Nothobranchius furzeri: one gene and its partners. The protein of the gene in region 2 purifies or fractionates together with the protein of the main gene of each other region. This does not show direct contact. Links are inferred from orthologs where the notes say so. Each region holds a gene or a part of one and is shown on either strand. Other genes may lie near its edges.

Region 1 (3,653 bases), on a different chromosome or scaffold from region 2:
GGAAGAGTACATGTGGCATCTACATCTAGTAGTCAAGCTGAAAGGTTTTGGAACATTGGACTTTGAATTACCAAGCAGAGAGTGACACACATCCAAATAAACACTTCTTTACCCTTGTCTGTTACATGTAAACAAGCAAGTGTGATTATATTTGTTTAGCTCAAACTCACCATTCTCCCTGTGTTTTGTGTAAAAATACAGAAATAAGAAGTAATCACAGGCTTAGGGTTGATACTTTTGTTTGTTTCTAAGAAAACTACACTTGTCAAGATTTTCTGTTATGAAGATGTGCTTAATTATGTTTTTCATAATTTGCGAGCCTTAGCTGGATGATTTGTACTATTCAAACACTCTGATGTGTTCACCCTGCAGTGGGCCAACATGAACTCACCAAGCATCAAGTGGCAGTGAAGATCCTGAACAGGCAGAAGATCCGCAGCTTGGATGTGGTGGGGAAAATTCGTCGGGAGATCCAGAACCTCAAGCTTTTCAGGCATCCTCACATAATTAAACTGTAAGTCCTAGATGACACACTGCTCACTTCTCCATAATCCCCTCACTGCCACATTAATGCCACCCACTCAGCTGCTTCCAGACTTTAGAACGGTGTGTTCACGAATACAGCCATCAGGATGATGTCTCTCTGACCCAGTCTGCTCTTCCACGAGCGCTCGGCCTGCTAGTTGCAGCGTGACCTCTTTGTCATGAATCCCTTCATCTTTAATGTGAGATCATAAGTTGCCGCTTTTATTCCAGGTTTATTAGTTGCTACAGTAATCACACAGGCTGTCATGTTTTAGGTCGTTTGTGGGCGACATCTGCACCAGTTGAGTCTTTATTACACCCTAATGTGCCAAGTCGAGTTAACACACGTATACAAATACGTGTTTTTACTAGCATACAGTAGGAATGCACAGACACTGGAGTAGTACTCATCTAAAAATAGTGTTGGAAATTGCAAAAGTACTTCCTGTCTGACCTGTGATGTCCCGAGTATTTCAGCTGCAGCTAGAGCGTTGTTAAACGGACCAGGAGGGGTGGGGGCGGCTAATCTGAACATCAGCTCGTGTCGTGCATGCACAAGAATGTAAACTTTGTGTGTGAGAGCTGCACAAACCTCTGGGACAAAGTGTGTAACTCTGCCTTAGAAATGTCATGCAACATAAACCTAAACCGCCAGCAGTGCTACATTTATTGAATCTCTGCATTAATGTCATGTTTGTTTATGTTTGTTTGTTTTCCAAGCCCTTACATATCTGCATTGCTGAAGTTGCATAAACATTTTTAAAGGTCAGGCTGTTGGTGTGAAAGGTGGATGTTTGATTTGTAAAGTCCTAAAACAGAACGAGAAGCAACAAAGATTTCTGAAAATAGACAAAAGGTAGTCTGATCTGATGTGTATTGCTTTTAAAAAAATATAATCTTTAATTTTTACTTATATTGCTGTAAGGACCTAATAAAGATATTTTTTATATTTAATATTAATAAATTGTATTTAAAAGCAACTATTAGGAGACCCAAGGAGGGCTGAGCAATAAATCAAACATTTATCGTTATCGAAATTTCTGACTCTTATGGGGATATTGTTTCTCATGTCAATAAATCTGATAATAAAAACTGAAAAGAGGTGTGTAGGTTGGCAACGTTCATGTCCCTTTAAGAAGCTGTACCACCTTTAGTCACGTAAAAATGTGACTCAGCGTATTAACAGCCCCATCTAGTGGACAACTTTTTTTTCTGCGCATACCTGATCGCCCAAGATGCACCGAGGACGTACCGTCCTGTTTGTTTAACTGAGTGGCGCGCTGGCCCGGAGCCAAACGACGGTCCCGAGCTGCGCACCTCCGGCTATGTTTATCCGGTCCCGGGAAAACGTCGGAGGAAAAGAGGTAAACGAGCAGGAATCCAGGTCAGAATAAGACTTCTCTTAAAGCGTGGTTTATCTAGTAAACATCGGCGCGATCTTCTAGCTTCTTGTCCTTTGTTTGGTGACCTGAGCGCCACTTCCGCATTCCCGCCAGGCCGCTTTGCAGCGCGGTACATCCATCCAAGTTTTTTAAGGTCGGTTTGTCCTCATTCCTCAGTGGTTTCTCCTCCTGTTCCCTCCATAAGTGGTTTTTACAAACACCGTGGATCTAACCCTGCTAATTTATGTCCACTAACTCCAGCTGTTTCTGTAGTTTCTGATTCCTCCACCCTCACTCAGCATGGCTCTATTAAATACCCGCTCTGTTAACAATAAGTCCTTCCTGCTCAATGATTTAATTCTCTCTAAAAACCTGGATTTTCTGTTTCTGACTGAAGTTTGGCAGCAAACATCTGATTATTCTGCTCTGATTGAACTCTGCCCGAGTGGTTATTCTTTTCTTAGCCAGCCCCGGGGTTCTGGTCGTGGTGGAGGCCTAGCTGTTGTTTTCAGAGACCATCTTCCAGGTAGCTCTACAACCTCTGGTCAGTTTGCTTCCTTTGAACTGCAGCTGATTAAAGTCGGGCGTAAGGACCCGTTCTACTGTGCTGTGGTCTATTGTCCACCTGGTCCAAACGGTTCTTTCCTTCAGGAGTTTAGTGACTTTCTATCCTCCACTGTGAAGCTGTCCAGACTGGTGATTGTGGGTGACTTTAACTTCCACGTTGATGATCCCTCTGATCACTTTGCCATGAATTTCTCCAGCCTTATGGACTCCTTCAGCTTTACCCAGCATGTTTCTGGCCCCACACACACCAGGGGGCACACTCTAGACCTTGTTTTTACCCTGGGTCTAAATGCTGACAGTGTTTGTCCTGAGGACGTTTATATTTCAGATCACCATTGCATTTTCTTTAACTTGTCAGTTTCTGCGTCCCCACCATATGGTTAGTTCTCGTTTTCTTAATGAGAGCACAGCTTGCACATCCACATCACCCCGCTTCTCCTCCAGCTTCACTGGCTGCCAGTCAACTTCAGGGTTCATTTCAAGATCCTGGTTCTGGTCTATAGGGCCTTACATGGACGAGCACTATCATACATTGGTGATCTTCTCAGTCCCTACACCCCCAGCAGGTCCCTGAGGTCCAGTGATCAAAGCCTACTGGTTATGCAGCGCACCAGGCTAAAGACCAAAGGTGACAGATCATCTGCAGCTGTGGCCCCCAGACTCTGGAACTCTCTCCCCCTGAGCCTGAGATCAGTGGACTCAGTGGTCTCCTTTAAAAGCAGCTGAAGACTCACCTGTTCAAGCTGGCCATCACCACTCTCTCTTTATTCTGCTCTCCCCACCTATTCCACCTTCCTCAGGATCCACTGATTTCCCTCTTTCCTATTCACTCTCTCTTTCTTAACATTTTTTAATCACAATTGCCTATTTTTGCTAATTTAAAATATATTTTTAAACATTTTCTAAATGCTTTTTTATATTTTTACATTTTTTGTTTTTGTAAAGCGCCTCGTGATTTTTATCTTGAGAGGCGCTATAGAAATGATATTTTCTTCTTCTTCTTCTACCTGTAGTTAATGTCCATTTATCGTTATTGAGGTGAAATCCTCAATATGTTGTGATATTGATTTTAGGCCATGTCGCCCAGCTCTACACTCAAAGTCAGTCCACAATAAAAGAGACAATAAAACGGATCAACAAAAACAGTAAAAAAAATAACTAGTAAAAGCAAACACAGTA
Region 2 (4,442 bases):
TTTTTCTACTTTCTGAGCTGAGCACTAAACAGAAACTCTTCCAATAACGGTGGTTTAAATGCGTTTTTATTGCCATCTTTGTGTTGAAGGTATTGTTTATGTGAAAAAATGTTTCTGCACCATTTATTTAGTGCGTGTGGACTCCCAAACAAAAAACTGCTGTTATTTTGCTGTTTTGGACAAAAATGGAAACCTCTTCGCAAAGATTTAGATCAAACTGAAAACGGTTATAAAAGTTTTTGTTTTCGGTTAAACTAATGTCTAGAACACCAAATTTGGCAATTCATGCCACAACCCGGACGACACACGACCACGAGGTCAGCGCTCAAGCGAAGTGAATTTACCCGTTTCATCCGAAGCATTTCCGCCGAGGAAAATAGACTTTTCATAATAAAAGTATATGAAATAATAACAGATTGGAGATATTCGTGTGAAATTTGTTTTCTTCATTTTGTATACGAGAGTTTTAACAGCTGATATAGTCTACCTGTTGTATTAAACAAAATGTTCACTGCTGAAATAAACAACTAAATGAACAAGTAAATAAATAGGACCTATTGTCTAGTTGTGGAACCCTTCAGACAATGTCCATAGTCTGTTATTTTAACCTATTTAACATTAAAGCTACAAAAATTGTCCTGTATCACATTATTCGTTTAATTCTGATTTAATTAACAGCCAAAGGAGGCAGTTTGTTTCAAGGTCTCATTAAAAAATAAAATGCTTTATAGGCTACTTACAAAATTACAAACGTGTATGTTTATTAGTTATATTTATTTACTTTCATAGGAAGGGTTTATGTTGTAGGGGTGAAGCTTTTTATTTTTAACATTAAAAATTTTAATTTCAAATTATTTGACAGTTTATTGCAGATATCATTTCTTCAAAGAAATTTAATTTATTCTCTATTCTTTTCTTAAAGGGCATTTAGATCAGGATATTTTCTAAATGATGATTAAAAAATGTGAAAGATAGGATACAGGACCCATAATGTAAATAGAACTGGCCCCAAGATGGACCTTTGAGGAATTACACAAATGACAGGGACCTTTGCAAAGAATAAACCCACAATTAAATCAAAATGTTAAAGATGAGGCGGGCACTGCTGAAATGAATTTCACCTGAGTCAAGTACACAACTCTACAGACAAACTTAATGAAACTTATCAAAGCTCTGCTGGAGTTCGAATCACATTGACTGAAATAATAAAAGGCGAATTTTACTAAGCTGATACCACATAAGTCCCACTGTTGTAACAATTACTTTTATTCATTTATTTTTCATTGATAATTAAAAAAATTGTACAAAGTAAAACTAAATGCAACAAGTTTATATGAAACTCTTATGAAACATGTTTGTGAAAACATAAAAAAAACATATTTCTTCAGAGATAAAGACTGAAATGTTAAAGGTAAATAATAATTGCAATTTTTGTAATATGCCATTTTTTGGTAATTTTTTTAAATAAATTTGCCCAAAATATTACAACTTTACGACATTCCCAATGTTTTTATTGTGAAGGCACAAGCTAACCGTTAACGGAAGTATTTACCATCACTCCACGAGCCGTCGCTGCTACTCGTCGACCGCGCGCTGGTTTGGCTAGCTAGCGAAGAATATGGCAAGTCGAGCACCATGAAGTGCGGATGCATTACACGGATCACAGTTTTCAACTGAAAATACATCGATGGACCACTGACAATGACGTCAAAGTAGAGCACTGTTTGCAGTTATTACAAACCCGTAACACCTTCCCGGGGAAGTTTTCATCTGGTCAGCGGAGGGGAGAAAATCTCACCAGGAGCATGGCTTCTTACAGCAACCAGGTAGCTCGGCTAGCATTAGCCAGTAAAACAACTGAATGTGGAATTCATCTAACCGTTATTTAAAGCTTTACGATCACCTCTCTTTTGCAAAAACATGTTCACCAAATAATTATCATACCATATTCGTGTTATGCTAAGTTGTGTGTTTTCATTTACAACAGCGATTTGATCGTGTCATTGAAATTCGTAGTGCTGAAAAGTGCTTGCTAATGCCCCCCATCCACCCCCCCTCCTCCCAATGAAACACAACCAGCATGGTAACATTGCTAACAGGCCGTGCGATCCTCCATTCAAATGAGCCAGCAGTACTGCTTACTGCTATTTTTAAAAGCTACGAAAGCATTTTTTCATCTAATCGGTTCTACAGCCCGCATAATGAAACGACAGGGATTGCTTGGTACCAGATTCTACGATTGTCATGAATTATTTGTTAAGAGAGAAGTCACAGGAAAGGAAACTGCTGCGTGTTTGCACGGCCCACCTGCTCTGCTGACACGGGCCTTCTCGACTTTGTTTTCTTAAATCAATACTACTGAATACACGTCCAATATCAGGTGCAAGTTCCGATTCGCGGATATTTTTCCGCAAGCAAATGTAGGCGTATGCTAGCAGAAGTAAAGCCAAAGATGAGATGCATTTTCGAGCTTATTTAGCTGTTAGCAGGCTAGCAGTTTTGCACAGGTGGTGTGCATTGCTGTCATTTCGCTTGCTGGTTAGCTGAATACTGTGCGACAGCGTGGGCCTTAATTCGTATTTTGACATTTTATGCAAACGTAAGTAGACACACGATAAAATTAGCTATGGGCAATTCGCGTATGCAAACGCAAACTAGCTCTTCTCGCTGTGTGATAGAAGTTAGTCTGTAGGAAGCAGATTCGGGTTTTAATTCCGTGGAGGCTAACCTTCATGTGGGAAGGCCCGTTTTGAGGTGTGCATGCAGTAACTTGCAAGTAAGTCCGGGGTTTGTTGTGTTTGACTCAAAGTTAGTGTTTTATTTAAACGAAAGCACATCAATTAGGAACCCGTCATAAGCCGTTCGTTTGAATTAAATGTTCAACAAAACATGTATATTTATTACAGGAAGCGACGTATCACTGGAAATTATGTTTTCACACCTTTTCCTGCCCCAAACTGAGCATTTCTGTTGGCTGACTGTTCAGCAAAGCAGTGGTTTACGAGAACCAAAAAAATAAAAATAAAATAAATTAAATTCAGTTTCAGCCTTTTTTCCCCCTTTTATACAAAAGTACATTTACGTTGTGAAATGATCAGGTATCAGCCCTGAAATATTTGATTTCTCTTATCACAAGAGTATTTGTCAACTTTTAGGCATGGGGTAAATGGTCAATATTTACTGAGAAATATTGATTCCCCTCCATTTAAATTGAGCAAATTTCAACCATTATTAGATTTAAAAAATCCTGTTTAATTGTTGTTCACATTTAAATTCTTGAATGAAGCAGCTGCTGTTAAAGTGAACTGAATAACAAAATGTGTGCACACACTTATAGGTTACCAAATACAAACATCAGTCAAAGCAGGTCATACTTCTTCTATAGTGAAGAGATAAAGGTTAGGAAACAGGTCATGCTGGAAAATCTTGTCAGTTATACTTTTTACCCGTTTCTATTGATAATGGCAGATTTGGTTCTGCTTATTTTTTGCATGGTCATTCAAATCTAAAGGCTGAAAGACAGAAACAAGTTATGTTTGATTTATTTGATTTTCAGGCTTTCAGAATTAAACATTTTTTATGGTGAACAGGTAGTAATTATTGCATTTTGGGTTATTTCTACTTAAATACCACTTTTAATAGTTGTTGCACTGCTAAGAAATATAGTTGTATTGCTTATTTATATTAAAACAATTAAAAGTATATATCCTTCCTGTCTTCTAATGTGTATTTTAAAGTAATGACATGTCCCTGCAGGTGCATGCACACTTAGCAGTGTTCTACAGCTTCTCATGTTGACATAGGGATCTGTTTCTGTCAGAGTACACAAACTTTCCTCAGAATTTGTGTTTGATTCCCAGCGTGTAGATTTCATAAATATTAAAGGTTTGTCAACAGAAATATTGCAGAGAAGCAAATTGGTTTAGTCGTTTAATTATGTAGAAAATTTCTGAAGATTATTTAATACCATAATAGTTTCTCATAAATCACATGAATATGCCTGAAACAAATACATCTGCTGGCATCTTGGCATCTTTTATACCCGTGTGTATCTCAGAGTTTTCATGAAATGGTCAAGTGTGTTGTGTCATCGTGCAATAGCTGAAATTATACAGATGTCCAATTTGTTGTAATCTGTTGTATGCTCATAAAAAGATGCAAAGGGACATTCTTTCTGTTGTGACCGAGTTGTTCCGAGGCTGCTGGGATTAAAGCCGGCTGTTTGTCACTTGTTGTGCTGTTTCAGCAATGTGAGCCCTAATGGGGGGGCCTTGTTTGCAAAGAGTTACATATGCTTGAACTGCACTTTCTTTTCTCTGTGCCTTCCCTTTTCACAGCCGGCTATTTATTGCTCTGAAAGGATTAACAGCGCGGCCTGTGAGTTCATTAGGTGTGTTTCCACTACCGGGACTTCATGGTAATTTTACCGGAACTTGCGGGTG
Region 3 (3,653 bases), on a different chromosome or scaffold from region 2:
CGACCTGCAGCCGATTCAGGGCAGAGACCGGAGCACCAACTAGGAGGGCGTTTACACAGTCCAGGCGAGAGGTAATAAAAGCATGGATGACTGACTCCAAATGCCTCCGTTTCAAGATTGGTCTGAGGCGAGTAAAGCTTGTGATTGGCCATTTCTTTAAAATTTGTCAACAGCACCTCCATTTGTCCTTCAAAAAATAAAGAGTGCCGAAGATATCTAGCAGCAGACACAGAGCAGCTTGAAGAATAACTTGTGGAAAATCTCTGAAAATGTGAGTGTTTTATTCACCCGTGACTAGAGGAGTAAAAAGCAACCGTTTTATTTGTGGATGGAAATGACAGGAAACGTGGGTTTAAAGGTGGCGAACACACAAAGAGGTGGCGAAATATGAGGGACAAATTTGTCTATGTTAAAAGGAATCTGAAATACAAAAATAACACAATATAAACTCCATAGTAAATACACTATCTTGGACTGGATACAGGACTGTAATGGTGACAGGATACCCCAGAAAAGTGCAATACCCTACCCTAACCACCAACCCTCTGTTGTACTGGTGAGGAATTTCTTTGCAACACTCCACAGCTAATGGAGAAGTATAAGTAACCACTTCAAATGTAATGACTAAAAGAGCGTTCCAGACCTTTAATTGTTCAAAGTCTACCATTTATAGATCAGTGTGAGCTTAGTTCACTAATGTAAACCAAGCATAGTTTTTAAATATAATTTTACTTGGTTTCAGAGACAATTGTATAAAAAGAGCAACTTCTAGAAATGTCATAGATCCACAAACTATACAACAAAGTTTAGATTGTAGCTGTCTTGTAGTTTTTTTCAGTTGTATTTAGATGAGAGGGTGTATACGACCAGAAACTCAACATGAGATGGACTCCACATCAGCTCCTTGGGTAGTTTTAGACTCTTTGGTATATAAAATAATGTATTATCCATTTTTAGACTTCTCCTGACTGTTGAAGGTTATTTTCTTTCATTTAGCTGTAGGCAGATTTTTTTAATGCTTTATTTTTCATGATCAGATTAACATTTTGGTTCATTAGTGATTTCAGTTGTAACCATTAAACTTTATTGAGGCTAAAGTTATTTATATTTTTACATAGATAAAATAAAGTGGATATTTTGAATTAAGGTCTAACATTTTCTTTTGTTTTATTTCAAATAGATTGAATATTAACATTCAGAACTTGCCTTACATATTATGACATATTATGCAAAACTCATCTTTTGCATCCTTGTGCTGCCATATGAATGTCTACTCCCTCTATAAACACTCCATTTGTGGGAATAAAAACCCGTCCATCTGTTTTCTGTCAGTGTTTGATTTCAGAAAATATGTTTCTAAAACAAGCAGTTTCAAAAAGTCCTTCTTGTGATGTCACAAATGGGGAAATTGGCAAAGAATGACCTCTCATGTAGAGCTGGGTATTGATTCAAATTTCAAGAATCTTTGGTGCTTAAAGTCCCATTCCAATAATCTTTTGTAGCTGTTTTAAACAGTTCTCAGTGGTCTTTAAACTGGGTAAATCCATCTTTGGACGTACTAATTGATCCTCATGAATTTTTATGAGAATCGATTTTTTTTTTCAACACAACCCTATGAGCTGCTGTTGGTTGAACAGTGGCTCTACCCCGAGCCCCTCCCGAATGTCTGAGTGGGTGATGGGTGGGCATGGTCAGCTCTAGCTTGTTTTCTTTAAGCGACAGGGCCTTGAAATGACTTATTCTGGAAGGTACTGAAAAGGTCATGGATAAAACTGCTGAAATTGTCTCATGTGAGAGGGATCTAGTGAAAATAACTTCATTAAAAGGTTTTGTTTCAGCCATAGAGCTATGAGAACTTGATAAGGAAGGTCATAATATGTTTTCTTTTAAAGTACAGCAATAAAAGTCAGACCCCTCATAGCTGAAGTTGGTACACATCAAATCATTGGAAAGTCATACATGAGAATTTGCCTGCTGCTGACATGAATAATTCCATAAATTATTCTTCACTTTAGGATTTTTTTATTATCTCATTAATTTCTTATTGGTGCTGAATTAGATATTAGAGCTGACCAAATAACCAAGAGAGAATACCTGACTGCACGTGAAAAGCATTTCTTTCTGTTGTAGTACCGTCGTTCAGCACAGGAGGGTGGTGTTTGCTTCAAATCCACCTGGAACAAAGTAGCATCTTTTATGTTCTTCAGTACACCAAGATGTGCTTTTCCCCCTTGCCCTACAAAGTAAACCTCTACAAAATCATATGTGAAGTGTTATTTCTGTTTATATTTATACACACACATACATGCTTAGGGATGTGGAACAGATGAATATTCGATTGATCTTCCTGTCAGTCAGCTGGGTGTGACCCTGGAGGTTGCATCATTAAAACCAAGGTTACCGTATACGCGCTGTTCCCTCTAATGCAAAATGCATTCCTGCCAGAGATGTGCACAACGTTCATGCCCCCCAGGTTAACATGATTGACGGCATCAAAGTGTGTGAATGCACTGATATTCATTGTCCTGCAGTCTGTTTTTGTGTTTTCCATGGCGATATGTGACGTAAGTGATGAGTGACATTCGTCCCAATGCCTCGCCGCTGACGAGCCTTTGAACTCGTCTCTGCTGAGCAGGCATTAAACCAAACCGCTGATAAAAGATTGAGCTGGAAGTTCAAACTGAAAGCGAGAGATGAGTCTGTTTACTCTCGCGTTTGAGGACTGACAGGGTGCGTTCCCTCGTCTGATGCATAGACACGGGAGTCCAGTCAAGACACCTAAACTGTCCTGTTAAACAAAGAAACACAACTGCCAACATCTCAGTTGCTGCTTATGATATTTGTGCTCTTAGAATAATTTTGTATCTTCAAAGTTTATCTAGAAGGAGAAAATTCAATCAATTTTTCATATTTTCATTGGGATTAGCCTAAAAGCTTTCGACAACATGTTTACACACATTTCCAATCCTGTTACGGTTTTACTCCTTTAATAACAAATTCAGAATGCAGACATGTTTCTTCCCCTTTCCAATCCCCTTAATGCGTGCTCCATGTATTCTCTTCAGGGGTCCCAAGGGAGTGTGGACTTTAGAGGAAAAGGGTGAGTCGCCGCACTTTGATACCACCTTTGAAGATGCGCGCCCCAGTTTGACTCACCTGGCCCTCCTGGGACTGCAGCGGGCCGGATACCTCAAGTATCTCATCAGCCAGAATGTAGATGGTCTGCACGTTCGATCGGGCTTCCCCAGGTAACCTCATTCTGTAGCTGTATCCCACCACTCCGCTCAAGGTAGATTCAAAATCATTATGTGGAACGTACGATCGATTGACCGGAATACAATTATTTAAGTTCAGTTCAGATGTTATAGTTGGTGCTTATGGTTTTACTTTGAGTTTTCAACCCATCGTTACAGAAGAGACGAACACTGGCTTCAGAAAGAGTCTGGAGACTTAACCACCAGGAAGTGGGAGACACATCAGACCTTTAAAACTGCAGTAAATCTGTGTTCCAGAGCATATTTTATTACTGCGCCCAAATTTTACTTTTCTGAAATAGTTTTGCTGTAAAATACGTGCAGACTTGCTTTTATATTCATCCATCCATCCATTTTCAGCCGCTTATCTGGAGTCGGGTCACGGGGGCAGCAGCCTAA

What was found.
Region 1: the proteins of usp10 (region 2) and prkaa1 purify together in Homo sapiens (affinity purification with western blotting; 3 studies listed by BioGRID). This does not show direct contact. The link is inferred for Nothobranchius furzeri from reciprocal best matches to the Homo sapiens genes USP10 and PRKAA1.
Region 3: the proteins of usp10 (region 2) and sirt6 purify together in Homo sapiens (affinity purification with western blotting; 4 studies listed by BioGRID, with this or other methods). This does not show direct contact. The link is inferred for Nothobranchius furzeri from reciprocal best matches to the Homo sapiens genes USP10 and SIRT6.

Annotation. Positions count from the first base shown.
Region 1 is NC_091746.1:66,880,695-66,884,347, reverse strand, and holds part of prkaa1 (5'-AMP-activated protein kinase catalytic subunit alpha-1), read left to right. Parts: intron 1-372; coding exon 373-514; intron 515-3,653. UniProt on the Homo sapiens protein: Catalytic subunit of AMP-activated protein kinase (AMPK), an energy sensor protein kinase that plays a key role in regulating cellular energy metabolism.
Region 2 is NC_091749.1:59,302,914-59,307,355, reverse strand, and holds the start of usp10 (ubiquitin carboxyl-terminal hydrolase 10), read left to right. Parts: upstream 1-1,546; 5' UTR 1,547-1,646; coding exon 1,647-1,826; intron 1,827-2,307; exon of another isoform or gene 2,308-2,440; intron 2,441-4,442. UniProt on the Homo sapiens protein: Hydrolase that can remove conjugated ubiquitin from target proteins such as p53/TP53, RPS2/us5, RPS3/us3, RPS10/eS10, BECN1, SNX3 and CFTR.
Region 3 is NC_091751.1:57,917,165-57,920,817, forward strand, and holds part of sirt6 (NAD-dependent protein deacylase sirtuin-6), read left to right. Parts: intron 1-3,065; coding exon 3,066-3,248; intron 3,249-3,653. UniProt on the Homo sapiens protein: NAD-dependent protein deacetylase, deacylase and mono-ADP-ribosyltransferase that plays an essential role in DNA damage repair, telomere maintenance, metabolic homeostasis, inflammation, tumorigenesis and aging.